Notamacropus eugenii: one gene and its partners. The protein of the gene in region 2 binds, or shares a complex with, the protein of the main gene of each other region. Links are inferred from orthologs where the notes say so. Each region holds a gene or a part of one and is shown on either strand. Other genes may lie near its edges. The genes, in order: TIMM10B, TIMM29, AGK and TIMM10.

What was found.
Region 1: TIMM29 (region 2) and TIMM10B share a complex: the UniProt entries of both Homo sapiens proteins name them as parts of the TIM22 complex. The link is inferred for Notamacropus eugenii from reciprocal best matches to the Homo sapiens genes TIMM29 and TIMM10B.
Region 3: the proteins of TIMM29 (region 2) and AGK are in contact, whole or in part, in a cryo-EM structure (PDB 7CGP), measured with the Homo sapiens proteins. The link is inferred for Notamacropus eugenii from reciprocal best matches to the Homo sapiens genes TIMM29 and AGK. Residues at the interface, in NP_612367.1 of Homo sapiens: Tyr145, Gln146, Cys149, Arg150, Tyr151, Leu152, Gln153, Arg155; in NP_060708.1 of Homo sapiens: His33, Asn36, Arg39, Arg40, Cys43, Gln44, Gln47, Asn51, Lys82, Pro86, His89, Leu90.
Region 4: the proteins of TIMM29 (region 2) and TIMM10 are in contact, whole or in part, in a cryo-EM structure (PDB 7CGP), measured with the Homo sapiens proteins. The link is inferred for Notamacropus eugenii from reciprocal best matches to the Homo sapiens genes TIMM29 and TIMM10. Residues at the interface, in NP_612367.1 of Homo sapiens: Asp181, Asp183, Ile184, Asp186, Phe189, Leu192, Leu196, Arg197, Val199, Gln203, Leu204, Ser206, Asn209, Glu210, Leu212, Phe213, Asp214; in NP_036588.1 of Homo sapiens: His30, Arg31, Lys32, Cys33, Pro35, Pro36, Leu43, Ser44, Lys45, Gly46, Glu47, Ser48, Val49, Arg53.

The regions. Positions count from the first base shown.
Region 1 is NC_092876.1:89,005,126-89,012,218, forward strand, and holds TIMM10B (mitochondrial import inner membrane translocase subunit Tim10 B), read right to left. Parts: upstream 2,241-7,093; 5' UTR 2,133-2,240; coding exon 2,082-2,132; intron 1,396-2,081; coding exon 1,300-1,395; intron 1,174-1,299; coding exon 976-1,173; 3' UTR 519-975; downstream 1-518. Other genes in the region: ARFIP2 (arfaptin-2), read left to right, coding at 2,888-2,986, 3,460-3,556, 3,682-3,800, 4,033-4,254, 4,347-4,504, 4,622-4,796, 4,891-5,046. UniProt on the Homo sapiens protein: Component of the TIM22 complex, a complex that mediates the import and insertion of multi-pass transmembrane proteins into the mitochondrial inner membrane.
Region 2 is NC_092875.1:79,089,519-79,095,414, forward strand, and holds TIMM29 (mitochondrial import inner membrane translocase subunit Tim29), read right to left. Parts: upstream 1,449-5,896; 5' UTR 1,433-1,448; coding exon 1,324-1,432; intron 1,245-1,323; coding exon 520-1,244; 3' UTR 504-519; downstream 1-503. Other genes in the region: protein YIPF2, read left to right, coding at 1,908-1,938, 2,595-2,740, 2,823-2,903, 3,342-3,429, 3,568-3,684, 3,819-3,985, 4,062-4,244, 4,331-4,435. UniProt on the Homo sapiens protein: Component of the TIM22 complex, a complex that mediates the import and insertion of multi-pass transmembrane proteins into the mitochondrial inner membrane.
Region 3 is NC_092874.1:107,529,297-107,537,129, forward strand, and holds the start of AGK (acylglycerol kinase, mitochondrial), read right to left. Parts: upstream 3,006-7,833; 5' UTR 2,857-3,005; intron 2,288-2,856; exon of another isoform or gene 1,572-2,287; intron 1-1,571. UniProt on the Homo sapiens protein: Lipid kinase that can phosphorylate both monoacylglycerol and diacylglycerol to form lysophosphatidic acid (LPA) and phosphatidic acid (PA), respectively. Does not phosphorylate sphingosine. Phosphorylates ceramide.
Region 4 is NC_092873.1:3,159,443-3,166,390, reverse strand, and holds the start of TIMM10 (mitochondrial import inner membrane translocase subunit Tim10), read left to right. Parts: upstream 1-3,929; 5' UTR 3,930-4,086; intron 4,087-4,252; exon of another isoform or gene 4,253-4,350; intron 4,351-4,423; exon of another isoform or gene 4,424-4,442; intron 4,443-6,106; exon of another isoform or gene 6,107-6,186; intron 6,187-6,948.

The DNA of each region.
Region 1 (7,093 bases), on a different chromosome or scaffold from region 2:
TCAGTATAGTGCTGGGATAGAAGAGATTTCAGGGCTTCAAAGAACGTGTTGAGAAAGTGGGTGAGAAAGTGGAATACTGACAAAGTTTAGTACAGACTACTCTTCCTAGGACTTTGATAGTGAAGACAGAGAACAAAAGCTGAAGAGGGTAGCAGAGTCCAGGGTAAGTTTTTGGTTTTTTTAGGATAAGAAGATTGAGGGTCAAAGAAACAAGGGAGAAAATGTTTGTATGGGAAGAAAGACAGAGAAGAGGGATGAGAGTTGAATCAAGGTCTTAGAAGAGAAGTCAGGGAATACAATTTAAGATACAGATAGGGATTTGGCAAGGAAATTAGCCACTAAGAAACAAAAGATGCCTAAAGAAGTTTCTCTGACAGCCTGAGACTTCCTAAATCCTATAGCCAATACTTTGAGACAGCATCTTTCTCTTCATCTCAAACTCCTGTCCAGGAGAGGGACAAGAAAAGTCTCAACCAATCCATACCCTGCTTCCCCTAAAGCAAGCACACACAAGCATGGACACTTATAAGGACTTTACTACTGACAGGCAGGGTCAGATAAGGGGGAAAGGTACAATTAGGGATGTTTTGCCATCTCCGGGTTTCAGTGACAGGGATCAGAAGGGTTGCCATGAACTAATAATTCCTTTTCTTGTATTCCAATCCTTCTGAGGATCCAGGCAATCTTCTCTTTCTGTTCAGTCATCTCTGGTTCTAGCCCTTTGTACTATTTCCTTTGGAATTTGGAGGATATCCTGGTCTACTCTCCCTCTGCCTGGACACCACTTGTGGGAGATGATGGGCCCCTGGTGTGATGACATAAGGGTATTTGGTAAGCAACAACTGAGGTGGAACTGACACAGGATAGCCCCAGAAAGCCCCCTAAATTGCCCATGTCACACTATACGCTTTCCAGATATCAGAAAGTCCCATATTTGAGCATTCCATTCCAAGGTGGTAGGTGAACAGGAATCCCTTAGCTTCCTGGGCCTAGAGCCCCATGCTGGCCAGTCACGGGGCTTGATGGAGATCCAGTTGTCTCTGCCAGTGCTGCAGTGGCCTCATAGTCTGCCATGCGCTGCTGTACCAGGGCAGGCATCAGCTGTACATAGGCGGCCATTAGGCGGTGATTGGAGTAGACCAGCTTTCCTGCACAGCTGTCCAGGCAAGCCTCCTAGAAAGGAGGGAGAAGGGTGGTGTCAGTCTCCCTCCTCCCCAAGTTTACTTCCAGTTACAGTTTCTTTCCTCAGTCCAGAGGAGCACTTTCCACCTCCCTACAGAGAACATCTCTTACACACACCTCTTCTGCATCCAGGGCTCGATGGTGCAAGCTGGGCACACAGCGTTGGAAGCAGAGTTCCGTCATCCGGTTATACACCAACAAAAAGTCCCGAAGCTGGGGGCAAAGGGGAGAGGAGAAGAGGAGTGATGAGGTCCCGGGGAAGACACCTTCTACAGAAAAGGCTTATACAATTAGTACTAGAAGTGACCGTAAATATTCTGTCCTTAACTCCCAGCCTTTTATAGATAAGGAAAACAGGATGGGGTGGGGGGGAGAGAAGAGTGACCTGCCTGAGGTTAAAGCGTGAATCAATCAGAGAACCAAAACAAGAGCCACCAAACCCAGAGCTCTTTTCAAAGCACAGATCAGGATTAGTCGGAGGAAGGGGCCAGAGGCTGCACACGCAGACAAGCAGACACACGAGCGTGGGAACAGCGGGAATCGGGGGGTGGGGCTGGGAGACGCCCCCGAAGGCACTCCCTTCCCCAGCCAGCCTCAGACGTGAAAGGGAGTCCCGAGCACTCAGGGTCCCTGCCCTTGAAGCATTCTCCCGAGGCATTCCCTTGCCCGTCCCGGGCCATACAGGCCTCTCCATCTCAACGTCAGACCGCGCCTCCAGCCCCCGATCCTGGCACTAAGGATGCACCAAAGAGCGCATGCTCCACAATCGGCCGCACAGCCTGCCCTCTCTTAACACACCGGGTTTCCCTCTCCCTTTGTCCCAGACCAGGCTCCGGCGGCCCATGGGGTAGGAGCGAGGGACCCGCCGAGCCGAAGAGAACCTTCACAGCCCGACTCACGTTTCTCAGCTGCTGCTGCTGCTGCTGCTGGTGCTGCTGCTGTGACTCCATGGCCCCACAGGGCGCAGGCCCCTTACGTCACTTCCGCAACCGCGCACACCTTGCCCCCGCCTACGGCGCTAGGCGGCGTGGCCCGGCTCGTGGTGTCACTTCCGCCCTGGCGGTGGGCAACGCGGCTGCCTTCATTTGCCCGGCAGAGAACGTCATTTCCGCCGTGTCCCTGACCTGCTGCGAGGAGCGCGAAGGGAACCGGAGCCCGAGGTCCCAGGACGGCCCCGGGCCCGGCGCCCCGAGGGCAGGGCAGGGACAGGCGAGGCTGCCGGGAGAGAGGAAAGGAAGTCAAGGGAGCGTGGCCCAGCCAGAGGTGAGGAAGCTGGGCGACACCTACCTGAGCCCTGGGGGGGGAGGAGGAAGACCCACACCTGAGTCAATGGGGGGGAAGGAGCGCTTAGCTGCGTCCACCTGAGCTCGGTGAAGAGGGTCACCCACCCGAGCCCTAGGGACAGGGGGAAGGAGAAGGGACCCGGCTGAGCTGAGGGCTTAAGAGGGGAGGAGGGGCACCCAGCCAAAGCCAGGGTTTAAGGGGGGAGGAGGGGCACCCACCTGAGCCCAGGAAGGAGGAGGGGCGCCCACCTGAGACAAGTGGGGGGAAGAGGGGCATCCAACTCGGCCAAGGGGAGAGGACGAACACCTACCCACGTCCAGGGCAGAATTCTCCTGAAGGATGAATGCACCTGGGTCCGTGGGAAGTACAATATGTTTACTGAGGATAGATGCCCTTATTCGAACTTTTGCCTCCCCCAGCCATGACTGACGGGATCCTGGGGAAAGCGGCCACCATGGAGATCCCCATCCACGGCAATGGCGAGGCTGGACGGCTTCCTGAAGATGATGGGCTGGAGCAGGTGGGGGTCTGTTTGCTCCGAGCTCCCCAGTGTACTCATATCCCTGGTGCCAGTAACTTGTCCTGACCTCCTTACTTAAGAACTCTTAATCTTCTGTCCATTCTCTGACTTACTCTGTTCCATTAATACCCTTACTACTCTTAAATTCCCTGGTGCCCCATACCATGCCTTGACCTCGCTAAGCCTCACGTTCATGATCATGCCATCTCTGGGTGCCCCATCTATTCTAATACTCCTTTAAATACCCAAACTCCCATCCTATCTTCTAATCTCTCTTGTACTTGCACCTCTAACTATACCTTAGCCTTACCAAATCTTGGACCTCCCAATCCCCCTACTTTCTGTCACCCTACTCCAAACTAGGTTACCTTCCTACACCTTGAATTCTCTGAACTTCTCCTGTGAGTCCTCCATTCCTCATCTCTGTGTCTCTACCTAATTGTCCCTCTTCACTCCCACTTGACCCCTCATAGGACCTGCAGCAGGTGATGGTATCTGGACCAAATCTCAATGAGACGAGCATTGTGTCAGGAGGCTATGGGGGCTCGGCTGATGGTCTTATCCCCACAGGTATGAGGTAGAGGACTTGGGGAATTATTGGGGTTGAAAACCTGAGAAATTGTTGGTTAAAGGAAGAAAAGAGGGGATAGAGACAGAAATGGTTATCATGCAGATCACAGAATTTTATCCTTTAGGGCCTGGCCGTCAGCAGCCCCACAGTGCAACCCCTGCTGGCCCTGGTGACGAAGTGGCCCGGGGCATTGCTGGGGAGAAGTTTGACATTGTCAAGAAGTGGGGCATCAACACCTACAAGGTGGGGCTTGTGTCCCCTCAGCCCCCTGTCCCGTGGGTTCCCCCAGATCCTATCTCCTGTTAATGCCCTACCTCTTCCCCGGTCCCTGGATCCCATCCCATCCCTTCCTTCACCCCTGCCCTTGCTCCTCCAGGGGCTCATAGTCACAAACTTGGGAGGGGGGCAGGTATTTCCATATTCTGGGGGGCTCTTGTCTCCGGGAGGGCCCTCTGACTGCCTGGGGCCTGCTCAGTGTACAAAGCAGCTGCTGTCCGAACGGTTTGGCCGAGGATCACGCACCGTGGACCTAGAGTTGGAGCTGCAGATTGAGCTGCTACGGGACACAAAGCGCAAGTATGAGAGTATTCTTCAGCTGGGCCGGGCACTCACTGCTCACCTCTATAGCCTGCTGCAGACTCAGCATGCCCTGGGTGATGCCTTCGCTGACCTCAGCCAGAAGTCCCCCGAGCTCCAGGTGTGTGCACCTACCTCCCTTCCACTTTGAGGGCAACAGGGGACCAGGGGCAAGGCATGACCTCTGGGCCCCTATGTTCATTCAACCCACAGGAGGAATTTGGTTATAATGCAGAGACACAGAAGTTGCTGTGTAAGAATGGGGAGACTCTGTTGGGGGCTGTCAATTTCTTTGTGTCCAGCATCAACACCCTGGTCACCAAAACCATGGAGGACACTCTTATGACTGTCAAGCAATATGAGGCTGCCAGGTAGGAATGTACAAGCCATAAAATTGGAGTGGGGAGTGAGTACGGGGCTCAAGGTCAGGACGCCTTAGGCCTTACTCCCCAAGTTTTATTCATACATGACTCTTTCTGTTCCCCTAGACTGGAATATGATGCATACCGCACAGACTTAGAGGAACTGAGCTTGGGTCCACGGGATGCCGGGACTCTGGGCCGACTTGAAAGTGCCCAGGCCACATTCCAGACACATCGTGAGAAGTATGAGAAACTTCGTGGGGACGTGGCTATCAAGCTCAAATTTCTGGAGGAGAACAAGGTGCTAAACTGTCCCCCTCACCCCTACCCCCTAACTCCTCTCAATGTTTTTCTCTTCCCACCTCCTCCCAACTGACCCCCATCCATGCCCCCAGATCAAGGTGATGCACAAACAGCTGCTGCTTTTCCACAATGCCGTGTCCGCTTACTTCGCTGGGAACCAGCAGCAACTTGAGCAGACCCTGCAGCAGTTCAACATCAAGCTTCGGCCCCCAGGCTCTGAGAAACCCTCTTGGCTGGAGGAGCAGTGAGATGGCCTGGCCTGGCCCTCCACTCCCAAGAAGCACTCCTGGCTACAGGAGCAGTGAGGCCTGCCCCCTTGGATTGGCCCCTGTCCCCAAGAAGCCCTCCTAGGTGGAGGATCAGTGGACCTCCTCCCTAGGAGGGGCTGAGGGGAGCAGGAATAAGTGCCCTCCTCTCCAACAAGCCTACTAGGGGAGCAGAGAGAAGCCTTTTTTGGTAGGGAAGAGATTGGGACAGGGAAAGCAAGAATGTACACTTCCCCTTTCCCTTCATCCTTCTTTGCCCAGGATCTCCCTTCCAGGACCTTAGCTTCTTGTGGGTGGTAAAGGGAGGCACACCCCAGGAGAGAGGACCAGGTTGGGCAACTACTGGACCAGGTGCAACAGCACTTAGTTCTGATGCCTAAGGCCCTGCTCCTCTGTCAGCTAGTTTGGCCTCACTTTCCAGATCTTTTCCCACTACCCCTCAGCCAGTGGTTGTTTTCCCCAAGGGCCCTCTTCCCAACCAATGGCATTAATTCCCAGGGTTCTCCCTTAAGCCAATGGCATCACTCCTGGGTCTTTCCCTTGGCCGATAGCAGGTCTCCTGGGGCCCTACCCTGAGCTAGCATCACTCGGGGATCCTTTAGCCAATGGCATTGCCCTCAGTGCCCTCCCCCTCCACTCCCTCCATTACTGTTGGTGGGGGAGGAAGAGGGGAGGGTCTTAGGACCAAAGGGTAGCAGACTGGGGAGGTATGGGGCAAGGACTAGGGGTGCCGTGCTGTCTGTCCCAGCATCTGCCTGTCTCTTTCTATGCCCTGGAGCCAGGGTGGTGTTTCTCTTAATTTAATTGTGGGTGGGACTCTGGGGTGCCTGTCCAGTCTGTAGAAACTGTCACACCAGCCCTAGGGTGGCCTGGGAGCCTGGGACCAGAAATAAACCTTTCATAAAACCTGGCCCGGGCCTGTTTGTTGGGGGGTAAAGGGTCTGGGAGGATGATGCATAGAGCACAGGCCCTCTAGACTTGGGCCTGAGCCCCTTGCACTTACACTCTAGAGGACTCGGTCCTTACACTAATGCAGTTCCTAGGCATTGTGGCCCCAGACTTCCTTTGGTTATACTCAGATCCAGGGATACCCAGTCCTTTCACATTCTAACTGCCACTGACACTACTTGTTTCTCCTTGGAATTTGTTATCTTCAGCCCACCCATGCTTCTGGCTTCTCTGCATTCTCTGTTGCCTCTGACACCAGCGCAAGAAAAGGCCCTTTGAGGCTTCCAAAGGGAAACTTGTTAGTGACTCCAGGGAAACGGACAGATGGGAAAAGTTTACATTGCAAACTTCCTGCTTCCTGGTGCTTTCCTTGTGGTGTTTCTGTCACTCCTCCATCTAAATCTTATATTAACTCTCTAAATGACACCTGCTGCTTTTCCCCTTCTGTTCAGAATTGGGAGGGGGAAAGATAGAAGGAACTGGTCCACTAGGTGTCACAGACAAGTAGTCACATAGAGCGGGGGTATACAGTCAATGTCACTGGCATCATACCAGGCAGCTTGTTTTCTCCAGTCACCCTGGTTTCTTACCAGACTTTGGCAAGTCATTCTCTCTCCCAATTTAAAGCAAACAACAATGTTTATTTTTTAATATTCCCTTCCCCATGAGTCAGTAAAATGCCTTGAGCAGTTCCTGGATTGTACTGCAGTTGATATATCTGTAAAATACCTTGTATGAGCATTTTGAACTGCAATTTCTACACCAACTTTTACAATTAAGAATTTAAATTCTTTAAGGTAATAAACATAATTAGAATGGTATTTCCTATTGAATTATATTTTAAACACATCCTAAACACAAGAGTCCTAGGTATCTAATCTAGTTTGTTGGCCTAAAGATTAGTTATGAAAGGTCATTGTGCTGCATTGGGGTTTAGAGCAAACAACCAACCAAACTCAGAAGTAGTATAGCTGGGATTTCCTCTCCTCCCTGCCACCCCCACTTCCATTAACAGTGGTCAGATTTATTACAGAGGGAGAGTTCTGTTCACCAGTTTGTGTTGTCACCTGGACCACACCAC
Region 2 (5,896 bases):
AAGGGAGGAGCGTGTGTGAGAGTAAGTGAGAGACACAGTGTCAGATCTGTACTTACAGATCCAAGTGACAGCTGAGTAGAGAACTGACTGAAGTCGGGATACACTTGGGGCAGCAGTCAGGTCCTGAGGTGATAATCTGTTCTACCTGGTGGCAGTGGCCTCAGGGAAGAGGAGACATATAAAGGTTAAGAAGGCAAGAGGTCTGAGCAAATGACTGGCTTGGGGGGGGAGGGGAGGACAAGTCTGAGCGACTGGGAGGGTGCTGGTAGCCTTGATGACAATGAAGACCCTGAAGAGGGTCGGAGGCAGTGGCGGGGAGGAGGAAGATACAGAGCTCTGCGTCTGACCATCTTCCTGCGGCAGCTGGTTTCCTCCAAACTGACTGGTAAGAAAGGGGCCAGAGAACCTGGATTGTCCCTAAGGACAACCAAAGCAACTCCACTTACCTGGTGCACCAAACTGTACCAACTCGTTTAAGGGAAAAAAAGATGGGAAAGAGAGAAGAGAGGAAAAACCAGTTTATTTCACCGAAGCTCCCTCCCTCGGCCACTCGGCGCTCAGCCCCGCGCGCGGCACGCCCTCGGGGCCGGCCTCGCTCAGCAGCAGCCGCTCCTTCTTCTCCTTCTGCAGGACCTGCTCCTCCCACAGGGCCTGGTCCACCTGGTCCTCCGTGAGCACGGCCGGCAGGTACTTCTGGCTGAAGAGCCACTCGTTGACCTCGGAGCGCAGCTGGTCCTCGGACAGCGTGCGCAGGTGCGGCGGCAGGTGGCGGAACTCGTCGTCGTTGACGTCGCAGTCGCGCATCTTGGCGCTCAGCACCCACCAGCGGCCCAGGAAGCCCACGTCCAGCACGCGGCCCGGGAAGTCGGCCCAGCGGGGCTGCAGGTGCGGGCAGCGCGCCTGGTACAGGCTGGCCTCGGGGTCGTAGGGCGCCTCGTAGAGCAGCGAGCACAGGCCCAGGTGGACGTGGCGCAGCCGGCCCCGGCCCCGCAGCCACAGCAGCCGCTGCACGTGCGCCTCCGAGCCGGGGTTGCGGGTGGCGGGCGCCAGAAGCAGCAGGGTCCCGGACGCGTCCAGCAGCGCCTCCTCGAAGGACGCCTCCTCCGGGGTGCGAAGGGCGCAGGCGGCCGCCCCGCCCAGCAGCCCCGCGTACAGCGCCGCCCGCACGGGCCGCTCCCGCGCCGCCGCCGCCGCGTCCGCGCACGCCTCGGCGTAGTCGTGCAGGAGCCCGCGAACCCACGAGCCTGCGGGCGAGAGGCGGCGTGAGCGCCCGGGACGTCGGCCCCCCGGCCCCGGCCTCCCCCCGGTCCCGGCCCTACTCACCCAGCCGCTCCCACACGCGCCGCTTGGCTACGCCCCCGCCGGGGCCCGCTCCCGCTCCGGCGGCGGCGCCGCTAGAGTACACTCTCCTCCACAGTACGGCGGCCACCATCGTCTTCCTGCTCCGTACTTCCCCACGGTCCGGAAGGAAACATTCCCCTCGCCGCGACACTGCAGCGTCACCGGGTTCGAGCCAAGGCGCTACCGGAAACGATTCCCCACCGGAGGGGAATAAGGGAAGCGCTCACGTGTAGAAGGGGGCGGCGGGGGAAGGTGACAAGAGTGTTAGCATCCCGGCACCCGGCTGTACCATCTGGACGTCCACAAGCAGCGCCACCACGCGGAGGAGGACAGGCAGGGCAAGCGGTAAGCCTTGTCTCCCCTGCCTCGGACTAAGTGGGCTCGACCCGGATCCAGCTGGCGCAGGCGTAGAGGAGGCGTTCCACGCAGCTGGCCGACAGCTGGAGGGGTGGGTTGAGTAAGCCGGGCTCCCGAGGCTTTAGATCCGGGGGAGGGGCTTTGCTGCCTGACCCCCCGACCTGTCTCCGCAGGGGCGCAAGGCTGGAGATGTGGTGAGAGCGCCGGCCATGGCTGCGCCCCAAGAGCTCACCTTCCACGGTGAGTGAACAGCTCCCAACCCCTCCTCCCCCGACCATCCAAACGCCGGACCCGTCTTCTCTCCCTGACCCTCCCCAGGCATTCCAGACCCCTATTCTCTTCCCTCAGAGATCCCCGTCTTTCCTGCCCCCGCAAGGGACCTTTTGTCCTTGACCTTCCCTTCCCCAGCCCCGTCTTGGAACCCAGACCTGAGGTTATTCCTAGTGATAGTAGTTAACATTTCTATAGCACCTTCTACGTCCAGGCACCGTACCAAGTATTTTAATTAAAAATATTTCATTTGGTTCTCTGAACCTTGGAAGGTAGGTGCTGAGGCAAACAGGTTAAGTGACTTGCCCAGGGTGACAGCTAGTAAGTGTTAGGGGCAAAATATGAAATCAGGTCTTCCTGACTCCGGTCTTAGCGATTTGTCCACTTTGCTACCTAGCTGATGCTCTTGTCCTGCATGGACCTTCCCCATCCTACCCCCGCCCAGCACTGTCAGGCAGGCTTCCTCTTCATCCCCAACTCCATATCTGAACTGGAAGGACAGATTAATGGCTGGCTGGCATGGTGAATGGAGGTCTAGAATTTGGGCACCTGAAGGGTGGTCTACCAATGGCCAGCTCTTAGTTTGGGGGGAGGGGTCGCCTGGATGGGACTGGTCACATCTACAGAATTTGAGATGGCTGCTGACTTGCTGGCTGAGACACCAGGGGCTACTACCGTCTCCAGTCTTGGGGAACTGCAGAGCCATGTGAGCCTGGCTGTGGACATGGAGGACCAAGAAGATGGAGAATTGGAAGAGAATGATCAGACTCAGGTGAGTTTAGGCCTTCCTGGAAATTCTATGTTACCCAGCTGGGAGCCTTCAGAGGACACACCTTTGACCATTTCTCTTATAGTTGCTTGGGGGTGAGAAACAACCTCCAAACTTCTGGACCTTCAGCTACCACCAGTCTTTCTTTGATGTGGATACCCATCAGGTGAAGGCCTGAGGCTAGTTCACACTTAAGGTGGGAAAGTGAAGGCCCCTCCTTACTGGCTTCTGGAGAACATAAAGGCTTATTTGTTTTGATCAAGCCCGCTGGTATTTGTGCACTTACCCCCAACAGGCTTGTACTGAAGGTGCCACCTTCTTTTCCCTGCTCCTTTTCCTGATCCACATAGCTGAAAATGATCCTTCCCAACATCCCCCCCACACGCACACATTCTCTTTCTGGATGCACCTTTTGTCCTTATCATGATAGGCTATGGCTTCATACTGTGCTTATTTGTATACATAGATCCCCTCTGATGAAATTCCTCAAAGGCAGGGACTTCTATTCATCCTTGTACTAGCAATGACCTCCCTACATGTTAATAGGCACTTAAGTGTTCTGATTTTGGTGGGTGGGTGGGTGGGTGCTTTTTTTCCATCCTAGGTGCTGGAGAGGATCAGAAGTTCAGTGCTGCCAATTCCTAGCCAGAACTTTGTGAGACACCGTCTTCGACATCATCCAGACCTATATGGTAAAGCTGTTTTAATTCCACTAACTAAAGGATTTGAAATTAGAGGCAGGGTACAGATCTATTTCTGTCTGGGCTGGGGAGGTGCAGTTCTCAGGGATCTAATGTACATTCTGCACTTTATTTCCACTCCTTCCCTAGGGCCTTTCTGGATATGTGCCACACTGGCCTTTACACTAGCTGTGAGCAGCAACCTGGCCACCCTGCTGCAGAACTGGAGAGACTCTTCCTTTTCTTATAGCCCACAGTTTCATAAAGGTGAGCAAGCCTGCTCAAGGATGCAGCAGACCTGCCTGTTCTGGGGCCTGTTCTGGGGCCTGTTCTGGGGCCCTTGCAGGGCACTAGAGGGCTACTTGGCCTTTAGCAGGTACGGTTTGGGTTTTCTCTCCCAGTTACTGTTGCAGGGATCACCATTTACTGCTACGCATGGCTGGTACCAACGGCACTATGGGGCTTTCTGCAGTGGCGCAAGGGGGTCAGGGAACACATGAGCTGCTACACCTTTCTGGAGATTGTGTGTGTCTACGGATATTCCCTCTTCATCTACATCCCGACTGTGGTGAGGGTGGCTTGGGGGCTGGGCTGGGGGTATTAGATACTGACAGAAGTCTATAGCCTCTCTCTCTCCCTCTCAGGTCTTATGGCTGATCCCTATCTCGGGGCTTCAGTGGTTTCTTGGGGTCACGGCTGTGTCACTTTCAGGGGCTATGCTCCTGCTCACCTTCTGGCCTCTCGTCCGTTCAGACACCAAGGTGGTATCAGCTGTGCTGCTTACAGTCATGGTTGCCCTCCACGGCCTCCTGGCCATCGGCTGCAAGGTAGCACCAGCTGTCTAGGGTATAGAGGAACTGGCAGGCTGGAATGGCCTGTAGCCTCAGCACTGACTCAAGACTTCTTGCTTTAGTTATATTTTTTCCAGTTCCTGCCTTCAAGGTCCGTTCCTGTGACCCAAGCCCCACTCCACCAGGTCACACCACCTGGCTCCTCCAAGACTTCTGCAGCCTCCTAGGAGAAGAGGTAAGCAGAATAATCATCATCTAAGGAGAGATGTGGTCACAAAGCAAACCCCCCCCAGGGGAGGGACAGAAGTTTCACAGGTGACTCCTTGAGAGACTAGCTTCACACCCCTTTTAATAGGATCTTTGCTCACAGAGCAAGCAGGTCTGCAGAAACATAATTTGGGATCCCTCCACTTAGTTTCTACTTTTTTTTTTTTTTAGCAGCTGGGGAAAGCTGACAAGATCAAGTACCGTTAGTCATCCTGGGGGAGAAACAACCAGAGCAGGGTTCACCTGCCACCTGCCAACTGGTCATCAGGTGATCTCCAGTGATGGAAGGAGCCATCACCTGCTGAGTCACTGTTCATTCTGCTGCTTTGAAGACAGTTCTTACAAATCAAAAAGTTTATTTTTTTATGCAAATGTGATTTAAAGAGACTATATAAACATGGAACTTCTCATCTGCGTACAAGGTTTCTAGTCCTTGTTAGGGCCTACTGGAATTATGGGCATACTGGGCACTTCCATTGTGAGAAACCAGTGAACAGAAAAGCTACCAGGGTAAAATTGATTTATTCTCTTACATACTGAAATGGGGCAGAAGGGAGGGAGTCCGTGAGTTTGCAGGCCCTCCTGCTTCAGGGGGGCCCCATTCTGTCCTATTAGTGGGGACTAAAAGCCTGGACAGGCTGGAGTTGAAGAAAACTGCCTGTGATACAACACTCATTTCTGGTTTTATTTCCTAAGAAGGAATCCCTGCAAGGTCCCTTACCAGGCACCCATGGAAGGGACAAAAATGACACACTATGAGGGTTGGAGGCTACACTAAGATACAGGGAATACACAGGCCTAATGCGAACTACAAAGAAAAACAGGGTCGTCCATTAACAAACCTAGGTTCTGTTCTGCCAGTACTGACTAATCCACCCCCACCCCCACCCCCAAATGGGTAGCACTGGCCAAAGCCTCAGTCCCCTCCTGTTCTTAGGGAGAAAGGAAGGAAAGAACAATTGTCTAAGGTCTTCTGGGGTCACAGGTGACAGGAGAGCAGGAAGAGGTGATGGTTCACTCAGAGCTGGGAGGGGAGAAGAGGCTGTTTCTGACAGCCATGGGCTGGTGTGTACATTCAAGTGTGAGGTGAACCCTTTGGTGCTGGGGTCACAGACTTCCCCAGAGAAGCAAGGCTACCCGGGCCCTGGGCCACAGCTTTCCCAACTGAGTATAGAGGCCTCTGTCATATGGGGCACGCTCAACTAGACAGCCATGCCAAAAGCAGGGACTTTCTTCCTCCTCCCTGCCCTATTTCCCTCCCCACCACACCCTTTTCCCCGTGATCTTCTGAGTCTATCAGTAGGGGCAGCTGGCTAATGCTTGTGCCAGGCCAGCCTGGCCTCTGGAGTCTGTGGATTGACACTGGTTATTTTTGTAAAAAAATAAAATTAAAAAAAGCAGCATGTCACACGCTGATCCTG
Region 3 (7,833 bases), on a different chromosome or scaffold from region 2:
CAAGCCCTTAACTGACTAAAAGCTGCAGAGAATTACCAAGACCCAATTATATTTATTGGCTACAAGAAACACCTGACTTGGAGAATCAAAATGCAACATTAAAGGCTTTCCTCCAATGGGGTATCTCTGATCCGTAGGATCACATAAGATTCCATAATAAATGCAATTAGAGATAGCAATCCAATGCCCCTGTAATAATCGCTATCCAATGAGGCACAAATCAGTGAGAATATGCTTGCCAAAGATATAGCGGAAGATGTCTTGTAAAGGGAGGACTCCCCAGATATGAAGATGTTCTCCAGGTCTATCATTTCAGAATGATAAAGTGCTGAACGTGGTAAGCCAAGGCCTCCTCAATATGACCCATGACTATTCAAAAAGTATCAGCATTATCCATCCATGAAGAAAAAACTAAAAGAAAAAAACATGCCTTTTGCCTAGATTATGGCATTTAGGTAGAAGGCAAGGCCATTAACTGAGGTAGCACATTGGTACATGTATTTAGGACATGTACTTCATACAGATAATGAATTGGAGCCCAAAAATGAAATCTAGAAAACTGTATAGTACTTCTAACAACATCAACCTGCTCCCTGGTACACTCATCTTTTTAATACCAATGTTCTTCTAGAGATCCCTTGACACTTAGCAGTCTTGCAATGCCACAGTTCTCAAAGATGTGGATGACCTGAGGTCTATAGAGAAGTATAGGTAGGCTAAACAGTATACATGCATGAACACAGACTAAAGGAAGAAGCTCTTTCCTTTTGTTACCATGGTCCAATATTACATAATAAGGAAGGCTTAGCAAGAGCAAATGTAATCTTTACCTTAACCACTCTCACACTTTGACTTCTTCACCAAAGAGTAGTAGTTTGGGAAAAGGAAGAACTAAAAAATGGCAAGTTAAGAAACAAGAATGGACAGGACTCAAAGATATGTATTTTATAGCTGAAGTCAAAAAGGAATTGCTGTTCTGTAACCTAGGGAAGTGCCCCGGGATTCAGCTCTCTCTCTACTGAGTCAGATCTAGCTGGGTCCTTCATTCTCTGGTCAGATTTCAAGAAAAGTTAGTTTAGGGATAGGTTCCAGGGCTAAGCCACCTAAACATCAAGGAAGGCATTTCTGCATTTTTCTCCCTATCAGAAAGGGGTATTAGGACATGCCCAGATTTTTCAGTCACCTGACCCAGAGGAATTACAACTTTGGGTAAGAAAAGAACTGGCAGGGTCAGTAATATATCTGAAAGATCATGGACAATAGGAGACAAATTATAAGCCTAAAAATGGGCAAACGATCCCAAGGTGGGGGAAGCGAACACAATCTATTGATTAATCTATTGATTAAGTGAGCTTAACTTCCATTCCTTGGAAAATTCTTCAATGAACCAAAGTGATGGCTGGTAAACATCTAGAAAGGGCAACAGGGGCTACAATTCTCAGCACGGCTTCATCTAGGGTGGACCATGCCACACTAACCTCACTTCCTTTTCTGACAAGTTACTGAACTAGTCAATGAGAATGCTACAGATAGAATTTGCCTGGATTTTGGAAAGGCTTTTGATAAAGCACCTTTTCTACTCTTATGGAGAGATATAAATTAGATAGTAAAACAATCGGCTCCAGATGACCACTTGCCGCCAGGACAGAATGAGGGTCTGCACCACTCAGGACCAGGTCCCTCGGGTTAAATCCAACACCCAGCCTGAATGGAGCGGCTGGAACAGCTCCCGACACACGGACAAGGACGGGAAGACGCCGTGAATTCTAGGAATCCTACAGGATCCAGTCCAGAGCGGGCAGCGAAAACGCCCAGGCGCCGCAGCGGCGCGGCGATGACCAGGTGCCTGAACCGCCGGCCTTACCCAGCAAGTACGGGAGCCGGACAGCTGGACAATTAATTCTACGCCAGAAGGGTTCCGTTTTTAACAGCTGGCCAATGAATGTGGGCTTGCACACCACTCCACACGTGCCAGAGACCTTTCATAGCTACCGTCTCCTTACATCCTCCCACACACCGGAGGCAAACAGAGGGGCCGGAGGGGAAGGAGAGCGGGCCGAGCGAGGGAGGCCAGGCCGCCCCCCACGAGGCTCCGCCCGCTCCCGACCCGGCCCGGCCCGGCGCCCGGCCCGTCCCACTCACCGCCTGCCCCGCCGCCCAGCAGCGCCTCTACAGGCCTCGCTCCGCGTTCCGCGCTCCACGCTCCGGGCCGCTCTTCCGGTGTGCAGACTTTAGCTCTTCCGCCCCGGCCCGAAAACCGCTGCCACCTGCGCTCGGGTTCCGCGGCGCTGCAGGCGCGCCCTGCCCCCGCGGCCCGAGGCGGGAATGCCCGGGAACGTCCGAGGGCTCCGCTCGGCCTCCTCCCTTCCCTCTCCCCCTCCCCCTCTCCCTTCTCCCGCCCCCTCCCCCAGCGCAGCCATCCACATGAATCTGAGCTCGGGGCAGGGCATCCAAGCAGCGTTCCCGCTTTCCCAAAAGCACAATGGACACAGGGTTCGTAGACCCCGGGGCTTTTCAGCTGGAAGAGCCTCTAGTCCCACCGCCCGTTTTACAGACGAGGAAACTGAGGCACAGAGAGGGGAGGTGACTGTCAAGGTCACGGAGCGGGTGGGCTTCCGGACCCAGTCCGGTCCTCCCGCTGCCCATCTTTCACACCGGGACTCACCGGTCAGGTTGTAAAGAGGAATCAACCAATCAGAATCCTTTGTTAAGTGTCTGCGGTGTCTCAAGAAGGTTACTTTGTATCAGGGAAAACAACACGTGCTAGCTATACGTATGTATTATATGTATCTACACATACACACACGTACGTATATGTATATATATATGCATGTATAGATATAGATAGATACATACCTGTGTATGTCACACACAAAATAAAATCAAGGTCATTTCAGAAGCTGGGGAGATCCGCAAAGGCCTCTGGGAAGAGATCCTGTTATAGCACAGTTTCAAAGGGAACTTGGGCTTCTGAGTGAGAGGCAAAGGTGAAGTCTGAAAAAAAACCAGCCAGATCTGAGATGGAGTGGCTTTTGTAAGGGTCAGCAGGAAGGCCAGTTTGACCAGAGAGTGCAGTGAATGAAAAATAACCTGTAGAGGGAGGATAAGACAGAAACCGCACTCATTTCATAAGATTCAGATGGACTCATCTCCCAGTCATCTTGTAGTCTAATATTTAAAAGAACCCAGTGACAATAATGCACTGTTGGTGTTGTGAAATGATTTAAGTATTCTAGTGAGCAACTTGGAACTGTCCTATAAAGCTGTGCATATCCTTTGACATAGCAATACCACTACTAGGTCTGTATCGCAAAGAAATTTTTAAAACAGGGAGGATCTATTTGTACAAAGGTATTTATAGCAGCTCTTTTTGTGTTGGCAAAGAATTGGAAATTGAAGGGATGCCCATCTATTGGGGAATGACTGAACAAATTGTAGCATGATTGTGGTGGAATACGATTGTGCTATAAAAAATGACAAGTACAATGATTTTAGAAAAACCAGGAAAGAGAGTAGAACTGATGCAGAATGAAGTGAGCAGAACCAGGATATTGTACACAGTAACGAAAATATTGTACGATGACTGATAAATACACAGCAGGGCTGTTATTGCAGGTTCACTCTTGATGTGATCAAACAGGAAGACAGCTTCAGAGGAGTTAATAATCTTATTTTATTTTAGTCTAGTCTTGTCAAAGGGGTTGCTGATAATGGGAGCACCAACTCCTTCCTACAGCATTCCCTAATCACCCTTCTGGCAGGGGCTGGCAACTACCCTCTACAACTTGATGGGGTCAATCAAGACAGACATATCTTGTGCACTACCCTAATCCCCTCAAGCTTCAATGGGGGCTTGTTGAGGCAAATACAGATTCTCCCCAAGCCTTGATGGGGGCTCATCAAGACTCGAACATCATTCCAGCTTGTACATTCAACCCTAAGGTTTCCCCACTCACTGACCAGTGCCTACCTGCTTTATAGGGCAACAAAGAAGGCACATTGCCAGCAACAGTCTCACAAGTTTACATTATTTCACCATTATATCTCACTGTACAGTTGTAGTGATATTTATAATTTTAAGCACAAATGTTTATAGTATTTATCATTATATAACACATTATATATTGCACAAGGGTAGTGGAAATGTTTACAAGTCATGAGCCTGGGAAATAAAGATTTTTATGGCTGTGGATCCTGGGAAACTAAACTCTAAGAAAGAATAACAAAAATCCACCTTACACACACTACAATCCACCTGAGTTACAATGGCTTAGCTATTCTCAGTGATACAATGATCCATTCTAAAGGACTCATGATGAAAAATGCCACCCCCCTCCAAAGAAAGAACTGATGGTGTCTGAATATAGATTAAAGCATACTATTTTTTCTCTTCCTTCCTTTCTTTCTGACTCTCCTTTCTTTGAGTGTTCTTCCACAAAATGACTAATATGGAAATGAGTTTTACATGACAACACATATTTAATTGCTCACTGTCTTAGGGGGAAGGGAGGGGTAGAATTTGGAACTCAAAACTTTTTAAAAATTGTTTTTTCATGTAATTGGGGAAACTATTATTTTAAAAAACAGTTCAGGAAAGAGGTGAAAAAAAAGTCCCCTATCATTATTGAAAGAGAAATCAATCAATAACCCTTTATTAAGCACCTACTCAGCACAGGCACTGTGCTAAGCACAGAAGATACCAAAAGAGGTCAGACAGTCCCTGCCCTCAAGGAGCTCAAGGAGCTCAGAGTCTAATGGAGGAGACAATAGGCAAACAAATATATGCAAAGTAAGCTACGTACAGAAAAAATAGGAAATAATTATAACAGGGATGATAATAGAAATGAGTTCCTCTATAACCAACCATACAAGAACATGATAATGGATGGTCTCATGCATTGTTGTAACAATACCTTGACTCGTCTGCCCCCGTCTAAAATGCTCCCTTTAACCCTGCTTTTTTGTCTTCTTAATTGTAAAAGTATATAGTCACTTCTCCTTGTCACCTACCCTTGAACAGAAAATAATCTCATTCTGATAACAAATTCTAACAACTGTATGACAAATATTTTCCCAGAACCTCATTTTTTCCTTTTGATTGATTCCCCTTTCCCGCACCCTTCCCTTTTCTGTGAAAGATATTATTTATTCTAAATTGCAGCAAAATGCTACTGGTTGGCTGTGTACTTTAACTGGGGCTGAAAAGTTATAAAAACTAACTGTATCCTAGGAAACTGAAGCTGCTATGGAGAACAGTCTTCTGTAGCATGAGAATACATTTCCTTGCTTTCAGTTTGGCTTCCTACCTTTGACCTATAGTCATTAGAACCCTAACCATGGGTACACGTCTCTCCCAAGAAGTCCCATTCCTCTTGGCGGAAGGAATTTCTTGATAGTAATCACCCTGGAAGTGTGGACTGGAGTCAGGTTTTTCCTATTATCTCAAAAAAAATCATTTATTAATTACCTACTTTGTGACAGGCACTGCAGGGCATTGTGGGTACAAATATAATGAATAAAACAATCCCCACTCACAAATTTGCATTCTAATGGGAGAGACGGCAAGAACATGCATAAGCATATACAGAACAAATATAAAGAGAATAGATAAATATTGAAGAGGGAAGACAGTAGCCCTTAAGAGTATCTGTAAAAGCCTTCATATAGAAGGTGATACTTGAACTGTGTCTTGAAGGAAGAGAGGAGTTCTGTGGTGAGAAAGGAGTGATTCTAGGCATGAGAGAAGACCACTGCAAAGACAGGGCATTGGGAGAAGGAAATTCATTGCTGAGGGACAGACAAAAGGCTACATTGGCCTTGGATCACAGAATATGTGGTGGGGGGCAATATGCAATACATTCAGAAGGTTGGAGCAAGGTGACAGAGTATTTTAAAAGCTGCACAGAAGAATTTATACATATACAATTATCCCTTCCACATCATGATTTTCCCCAATGCTGTTTCGATATATCAAGGGTCAGCATAAGAAATTAAATGATAATTTGGGGGGAGTTTTGTGGGAGCCCTAGATGACACTCGAAGGCCAGCAGTTGACACAGAAAAATACTTAACCCAAAATTTACAATGAAATACTGTAAACACCCCGTAAAAGAAAAAGAAATTATTCAAATGTCTTCTCTGGTATAAAAGGAAGACCAAAAAATTTTACATGGATTTTCCAGATCTTGGAGCACCTCACCTTCAACCCCTTTGATATGGAAAGGATAACTGTATCTGATTCTAGAGGCAATAGGAAACCACTGGAGTGTACTGAATAAGAAGAATCTCTCCTTAACCTGATCACTTTTGTCTTAAATTGATATTAGTTGTTAGTTGTAAATTAGATTGTACAAAGATCCACCTTCAGTTTCCTCATATGTAAAATAGTGATAATGATGGTATAGTACCTGTGTCAAAAGATTGCCATGAAGCTGAAATGATCTAATGTATTACAGCATTTCACAAATCTGAAAGTGTATGTAAATGTCAGTTTTTAGTATAACCCTCATTTATAAGATTTCTACATGTCGGTCTGAAACCCAGCTTTATAATTTTCGTATTTGTGGAGTTTCCTGATGTGCACCCATGTAACATCACCTGGTGAGATGCATGATCATAAAGAGGAAGGCAGGTCGGTACAGTAGAAAGACCACTAGTTCTGCAGTCTGAGGACAAAGGTTCAAATTCTACTTCTGACACTTTAGGGAATTTACTTTTTTTCCCCTCTGGTCTGTTTCCACATCTATAAAATGAGGAGTTTGGACAGCATGGCTTCTGAAGTCCCTTTCAACTCTATATCTGTGATCCTAAAAAAGGACTTTTGTGGCAGTGAGCAGTGTGAGATCATTAAAAGATCTGCAGTTTCCCAAATGTCATCTTCCTGCCTACCAAATTCTGGGCCTGCTTTGTTGTCTATATGCTGCATTTGTCCAACTTAAACATATTTTGTTGTTGTTCAGTAGTTTCAGTTGTGTCTGACTCTCTGTGACCCCATTTGAGGTTTTCTTGGCAGAGATACTGGAATAGTTTTCCACTTCCTTCTCCAGCTCATTTTGCAGATGAGGAAACTGAAGCAAACAGGGTTAAGTGACTTGTCCAGGGTCACACGTCTGAGGCCAGATTTGAATTCCAGTCTTCCTGACTCTGCTCTATTGACTTTGCCACCTAGCTGCCCCAGTTATACATATAATGCAGACCAAATGAGAGAAGGATTGGTCATGTATTAAGGATGAAAGGCAAATGAATGCTACACTCATCCTTATGACATTATAGATATTAAGATATTCTTAAAACAAAAGAATCCAAGGAAAGATCCAAGAGAGAGTTGGTACAGTAGACAGAGCATTGGACCTGGACTCAGGAAGACCTGAGTTCAAATCCTACCTCTTAACACTATCTAGCTGTGTGACATTGGGCAAGTCATTTAACATCAGTTTCCTCATCTATAAAATGGGGATAATAATAACACCTGCTTCCCAGGTAAGGATCAAATGTTGTTGTAAGGATCAAATGAAATAATACTTCTTAAATGCTTGGCATATAATGGGTGCTTAATTAATGCTAGCTGTTTTTTTAATCACCTAATATATAAATACTAGCTATTATATATATATGCATATATATGTAAGATGGACAACTAGGTGGCTTGGTTGTTGTCTTTCATTCTCAGAGGATCAAAATGACATTACTGTGTTAGAGTCAAGTTACAACGTGTCTGACTGTGACTGATCAGAGAATATGCTGTACCACAGGTCAGGCACAAATAGTCGATGTAAACATTTGGGGTGGATTCTCTAAATTTTCACATCTCTCATTTCTTTCCAGCTACTTCAA
Region 4 (6,948 bases), on a different chromosome or scaffold from region 2:
TTTCTCATTTTCTGGCTAAATACAGAAGTTCCTTTTGAGTCTGATTCCTCAAACTTTTCGTCACCTTAGTGTGGCTTTTTCTGGATCTTCTCCAATTTCTCCCTATGCTCTTTAACATTCAGGGAGTCCATGGGGGCTGGGGGAGGGAGCTTGACAGTGTTTCTTTGATCTGGGATGTGTCCGGGCTTTTTTCCTCATCTTGTGCCTGGGTTTTCTCTATCTAGGAGAGAACAATACTGACCCCTGGTGAAATTCAATGATAAAGCTCCCTTCCATGAAGGAAGAAGATGGAAGAAATTTTGGCATAGCCAGGTTGGGAAGATGGGGTGGGCAGAATCTGGACAAAGCACAGGAGCAAGTGACTGCCTAGGGGAACGTCTGGGGTGGAAACTGGAGGAGGATGAGGCGGGAAGAGCCTTGGGCTCACAACTGGAGGACATTAGTTTTGCAGCCTCTGTCTGGCAAGTCTCCTACTCTCTGAGTGGTGATTTCCTACCCTGTAAAATTAGGGGATTGGGCTAAATCATTTCTGAGGTCTCCCCCCCCCTCCTCTTCCTCCTACTTCTCCTCCTGCTTTTTCTCCTCCTCTTCTATGAATTCTCTCACTGAAACAAGAGCTGCTGGGGATAATAGGTTTCTACCTTAAAAAGACAGGAGAGAGATGGAAGGAGCAAGTGTGGAGGAAACATATCTCCTCTGTGAACCTTTCAGAATAGAGGTGGCAGATGGCAGTCAGTAGGCCTAGCCTGACTATGAATTCACAAACTGTCTTAAAAGACATCCAAACCACCTATCAGCCTACTGGAACTGTGAAACTTGAAGTTTGAAGGGACCTGAAGGGATCATCTGGTCCAACCTGTTGATTTCACCTATGATGAAACTGAGACTTAAAGAAATAAAATGATTTGTCCATGACCACACTACACATTGATGGCAAAGCTAGGACAAGCATTCAGGTGGAACCTTGTGGGTGAGAGTCAAAAAGGAAGTCATGGTGGGGAGGAAGGCTTAAAAATAACTGCCCTGTGTACTGGGAGAAAGAGAAAGAGAGGTTTCAAATGGGGTAAATTATCTCAAATAAAAGAGGCAAGAAGGAGCTTTTACAGTGGAGGGGAAGAGGGGGGGATGTGAGGGGAAGTGCGTGAACCTTAGGCTTATCAGAATTCTTTCAAAGAGGGAATATGTACACACTCAATTGAATATAGAAATCTATCTTACCCTACAGGAAAGTAGGGGAAAGGGGATAAGAGAAGGGGGAGGGAGATGATAAAAGGGAGGGTAGACTGGGGGAGAAGAGAGTCAGGAGCAAAATACTTTTGAGGAGGAATAGGGTGAAAGGAGAGAAAGAATAAAATAAATGGGGGAGGGGTGAAGAAATAATGTTAGTCTTTTACAACATGATTATTATGGAAATGTTTTGCATGACTACACCTATATTAAGCTGCTTGCCTTCTCAGTGAGATGGGGTGGGGAGGGAGGAAGAGAGAGAATTTGGAACTCAAAGTTTTAAAAATGAATGTTAAAATTGTTTTTACATGTAACTGTGGAAATTAAAATACTAAATAAAAGTTTAAAAAAACTCTAAAAAATAGCTTCCCTTCCTTCCCCTTTTCTTACTTGCCTTTCCTTTCCTTTTTCTTTCTTTCCCTTCCTCCATTTATCCACCACAAATAATTGTTTATAAAGGACATACTATGTACCAAGAACTGTGCTAGGTCCTAGAAAGACAAAGAAAAAGAGGAAAGGAGACAGTTCCTGTGCTCAAGGACATCGTGTCAGGAAATACATTTGCCACATGCACACATATAAGTTTCTAATTCTATCCCTCCAACTACTCTTTGAAGAAACTAATACCTGAACTGCCTTCTTTATTGGATAGTTGTAAGGAGGTAAGTACTGCATGTTCAGCGATATGACTATCAGCTCTTAATGTCCAATATCTCACAGCTGGTTTAGTGAGTCAGTTTCCCCCATATTGTAAAGTCTATGCAGAGGCAGTAAAATAGCCTGGTGATGAGGTAGTGTGATATAGTGGGCAGAATAACTGCTTTTGTCAGAGGATTTGGGTTTGAATCCTAACGGAGAAGTAACACAATTAAAGAAACTCAGAGCTGAAGGTCCTGTAATCCAACAGGAACCAAAATCCTTTCCACAACCTCTTCAACAAGTGTTGATCCAACCTTTGTTTCACTTGAAAATCTCCTGTGAGAAGACTTCTATCACCAGCCAGACAGTCAATAAGCATTTATTAAGTGCCCACTATGTGCCAGGCTAAATGGCTCAATGGATAGAGTCCTGAAACCCAAGTCAGAAAGACCTGAATTCAAATTTGATTTCAAATACTAGTTGTGTGACCCTGGGCAAGTCACTTAACCTCTGTTTGCCTTAATCCACTGAAGAAAGAAATGGCAAATCATTCCAGTATTTTTGCCAAGAAAACCCCATATGAGTCATGAAGAATCAGACGGGGACCGAACAAACAAAAAAATGTGCCAAGTGTTGCAATCTACTCCTCTTCTGGTCAGCTGGAATCGATACTAAATGTTTATTTACATTAAGTCTAAATCTGCTTCTGCACCTTGGGTCTTTTGCTCCCAATTCTACATTCTGGGAACAAACGGATTAAATCCAATTCCTCTTCTGCTGTGTGGCCTCATTGGATCTTTTTTATAGCATGGGGGAGGAGATAGGTAAAATGAGGCAGGTTGGATAAGATGCTCTTGGGGGCATTCTTTCTCTTCTTTTCCAAAGCTCCAAGGTAACTGGACACCAACTGGTCTGCTTCTGTCAATAATCCAGTCCACTCCTACTTGACTGGATCTTATATTTAGAGGTAGAAGGAGCCTTGGAGAACATCCAGTCTAACCCTCCCCCCCCCCATTTTACAGGTGAGGAAACCAAGATCCAGAGAGAAGTTGATGAAGGTTGGAAGGGCAGGGTGAGAACCCCACAAAGACAGGGGTACCAGGGGCAGGTCACCTGGAATGAATTCGTGGATTCAAGCATTGTTGAGGTCAAGGTAAAGATTTATTATGTTTTTCAGTGGGCAAGAATTCTTAGGGAACTTGCAACCTTAGAGGGGTACAGGTAAAGGATATTCTATAGTGAAGCATGTGCCAAATATGCTAACTAGGTGTTTGGGGGTAGGATTAGGGAGTGGTTAGTTCTTAAGGGAACATGCACTTTTGATATCTACTGCACAAATTTTTACCCCCAATTCATCTGGCAATAGCCCAAGTGGGGGGCGGGGGGGCTACCTGGAGGTGTGGTTTTAGACCTGAAACTTCACTAAGCCAACTAGAGGTCAGGATTGACTCAGGAATATCAGGTGGCTCTCATGAATGTCTTGTTAGACAAGACAAACATAAGGAAGTATATGTATCTCTAAGTTAGGATACATAGTACTAATAAATTCTACAGCATGCTACTGTAGCAAGGGGGGAGATAAAGATTGTTGCTAGGACAGGCTGTGCTGGGGAGAAACTGCCTGGGATTGCACATATAGGGAGGATGGGCTTTGGCGGGCTTGTCCACAGGGGAAGGGCTTGCCTGGTGGGTTGGGGCTGGGGTGGCCTCTTCTGTAACTTCAGGACAACACTGAGACCCTAACAGGGAGAGGCGGTGGATGCCCATGGAGGGAGGGGGCAGAGAAGGGTGTTGTATGTGGGGTCAGGAGGCAAGTTTCTCCATCTGTAAAATGGGAATCTTTGCGTCCCCAGCGATTAGCCTGATATCCAGTTGGAGGTATTAGGGTAATTATGGTGGAGAAGCCGTATGAAGAGGTTGGAGTCTCCTCCACCCAATCCCAGCCTCCGAGCACGTCCAGATTCGGGGCCCGTGCCCTTCCCCACCCAGTCAGGAGCTCCGCCCCCATCCCTGTGACGTCACAAAGGACGCTCGCTCCAGCTCAACTCTCCCGCCTCGCGCATTCCCTGCTTCCGCCCGCCTTCCCTCTCTATGGTCGCGGCCCCCGGCGTCCTAGAGCGGACCCGGGCGGCCCTACCCGCCCCCTGCCCGGGGCAGCACTTCCTGTTTCCCCGGAAGTGGGCTAGGACTTCGGCTACCGCGGCCCCACGCTTCCCCTAGGTGAGTCTGTGTTGTTGCCAGGGGCGCCTGTGGATCCTGGGCCGGGGGAGCATGGGGCGGGGGGGTGCTCCGAACGTCTGGGTCTCTTGTGTGTGCCTTCCCTCCCCTTCGCTTGGGGAACGGGAGGAGATAGCAGTGCCGTGATACTATCCATGACCCCTGACGCACTGCCAGCGTGACCCCTGACCCTTGACCTTCATTCTTTGACCAACTGACTGAGCAGCCCCTCCTGATGAACCTCCGCCCGGTCACCGACTCCTGACCGTAATGCCACAGACCCCGCCCTGTTGTTTGATCTCTTAGTTTGTTCTTAGGGTCGTGAGCCGGAGGCTGGAAGGAGCCTTGGAGGCCGTCGGGTACAGCTGGGGAAACTGAGGCCCGTGGGGCCTAGTGCGGTGCCCAAAGACGCCCCGACCTGGAGGTCCTGCCCTGCACGGGGAACCCCTGCAGCTGGAGAGGGACCTCCTCTTTTTACAGATGAGGAAACTGAGGCCCGGAGAGCGGAAGTGTCTCCACCTCTTACTGGCGGAGCGCTCATCATTTCGGCTTAGGGCCTCAGTTTCCTCATCTGTCCACACTTGTCCAGACAGGGATTCTTTGCCAGGGTTATATGAACCTGTTTGTCCAAAATATTTGTCCGTGTGATTGATAACTTTTGCAGTCTAGCACATTTACAAACATTCTGAGCAGGTGTCACCCCACTGACCCCCCCCCCCCAGGGGGTCCCTGATACCAAAGCGCAATAGTGGATCCAAATCTGGCCCTGCCCCTGACACGTCCTGCCTTGGAGACCCGAACTTTTAGTGCTGTAGGCCTCTGGCGTCCAACTCAAACAGGGATTGCCTTAGAAAACCACATTTTTATTTATTCTGTAAAACATTTCCCAGCCACATTTTCACCTGGTTCAGGGCTTACGTTTCACACTTAAGCTCCAGAAAGTTCTCTAAGATTATAAATTATAAAGAAAGTGCTGCCCTGGACTGGTGGGGTTTGGGGGGACCCTCATGCAGGGATTCCCTATTGCCAAAATAAAACCTTGCTCTACCTCTCTACCCCACAGGGTGGTGAGGAGGTTCCAGTGAGATGGTGGATGTGAGATGCTTTAGAAACTGAACCCACACAGTAATCATTTATGAAGTGCTGGCTACGTGCCAGGCTCTGGGCATAGCAAACAAACAGCAGTAAAAACCCCCAGCCCTGCCCTTAAGGAACTTAACTGGAAAGTGAGCTTCATGAAAGTCGGCCATGACTGTGCTTGTCTAAGGTCACACAGCCCTTTAATGGGAAAGTCTGTTTTCTTTGAATTTTAGAGGCACACAAGGATAGACTCATGTAAAGAAGGAGCTCAGGCCCCTCATGCCTCTGTTATGTTAGAGTTGTTCAGGTTTGCTGGGCAATCCTTAGTCAAAAATGCCACCACTGAACCATCAAACAGAAAACGTCAGGTTGAAGTCGGTGAAGCTTAGAATGCAAGGAACCATGACCCAACGCATCTAGTCCAGACACTTGGTTTTGTAGATGAAAAACTGAGGCCTAGAGAGGAGAAATGAGATGGATTGTTCCATCTAATCCCCAGGATACGTAACAACAATAACTACCACCAGAATTTGTACCCCACAGTCCAGTGACACTGGTCTTCTTGCTGTTCTTTGGTCACAACTTCCATCCCCTCTCATTTCTATGCCTTCTCCACTGGCTATTCCCCATGTCTGTAATGCTCCCTCCCCCAACCCCAGCCACCTCCATCTCCATCCTTTGGTTTGCCTGGCTTCCTTCAAGACTCAGCTCAGAATCCTACTTTGTGTAGGAGACCTGTCATGGTCCCCTTCACCCCTCCAGCTGCTTCCCTGTGAGATTATCTCCAATTTACCCACCATCTAATTGTTTGCATACTGTCTCCCTCATTAGATTGTGAGGTCATCAAGAGCCAGGAGCATTCTTTTGTTTTCACTATGCACTTAGCACAGTGCCTGGCATATAGTAAGTCCTTGATCAATGTTTAGTGATATGACTTGATAGCACCTATTAGAGCTTTTGCTCTACTGGTAGCCTTTGAGAACCCAAGGATCTTGGTGCCCAGAGACATTGAAGGAATTCAAGGTATCCAAGAAATCACTCACCAAGTAGTAGTAGGAACCGAGTGATCGACTGCCTGGGGAGGACAAAACCAGGCTTGCTAAATGAGAATAGCTCATTACTTTGTTGGCCATGGAATGGCAACCTTTTCAGCCCTCACTGAAGATTATCTCCTATGGCATGAAGGGATTGCAGTAGAGTTGGTGGAGGGAATTCATCAATGAAATATCCAAGTTCCCTTCTGCTGGTGTGTGACAGTGGTGTCAGTTACATTTTAATCTGGTTCCTGTGGGAGTTTGATGCTTAGTTTCTCACAGATTGTGCAAGAGATTATAAGCTCTGGTAGATCCCTCCAGTTTGGAAAGATGGACTTATGACACACTGTCTGCTTGTTGATTAACTTATCAGAAGGCCAGCCTAATTAGGTTGATGAAAGGGTCAACACAGAAGGTTGGCCAGAATTTTTCTAGATGTGATAACTTACAAAGTTGTCTTCTTAGGGCAAGAAGTCAATAGGATCTGCATTTTTAGGGTAGTACCTGTATTGATGAAATTATGTTCTATTTAATAATAGTAATGATTACACAGTAGCTCCTCTTTTTTATAGTGTTAGACCATTTATAAAGTAGTTTCCTTTTTAGAGTCCTGTTATTGCCCTTTTACAAGCATGGCCTGAAGAGGCTGTTATATGCCAGGAAGGGCCAAGGTTGTGATTAGAATCCAGTGCCTCAGACCTCGAGTGAACTGTACTCTCCATGTTGCAGCAATTCCTAGTTGGCTTTAAAC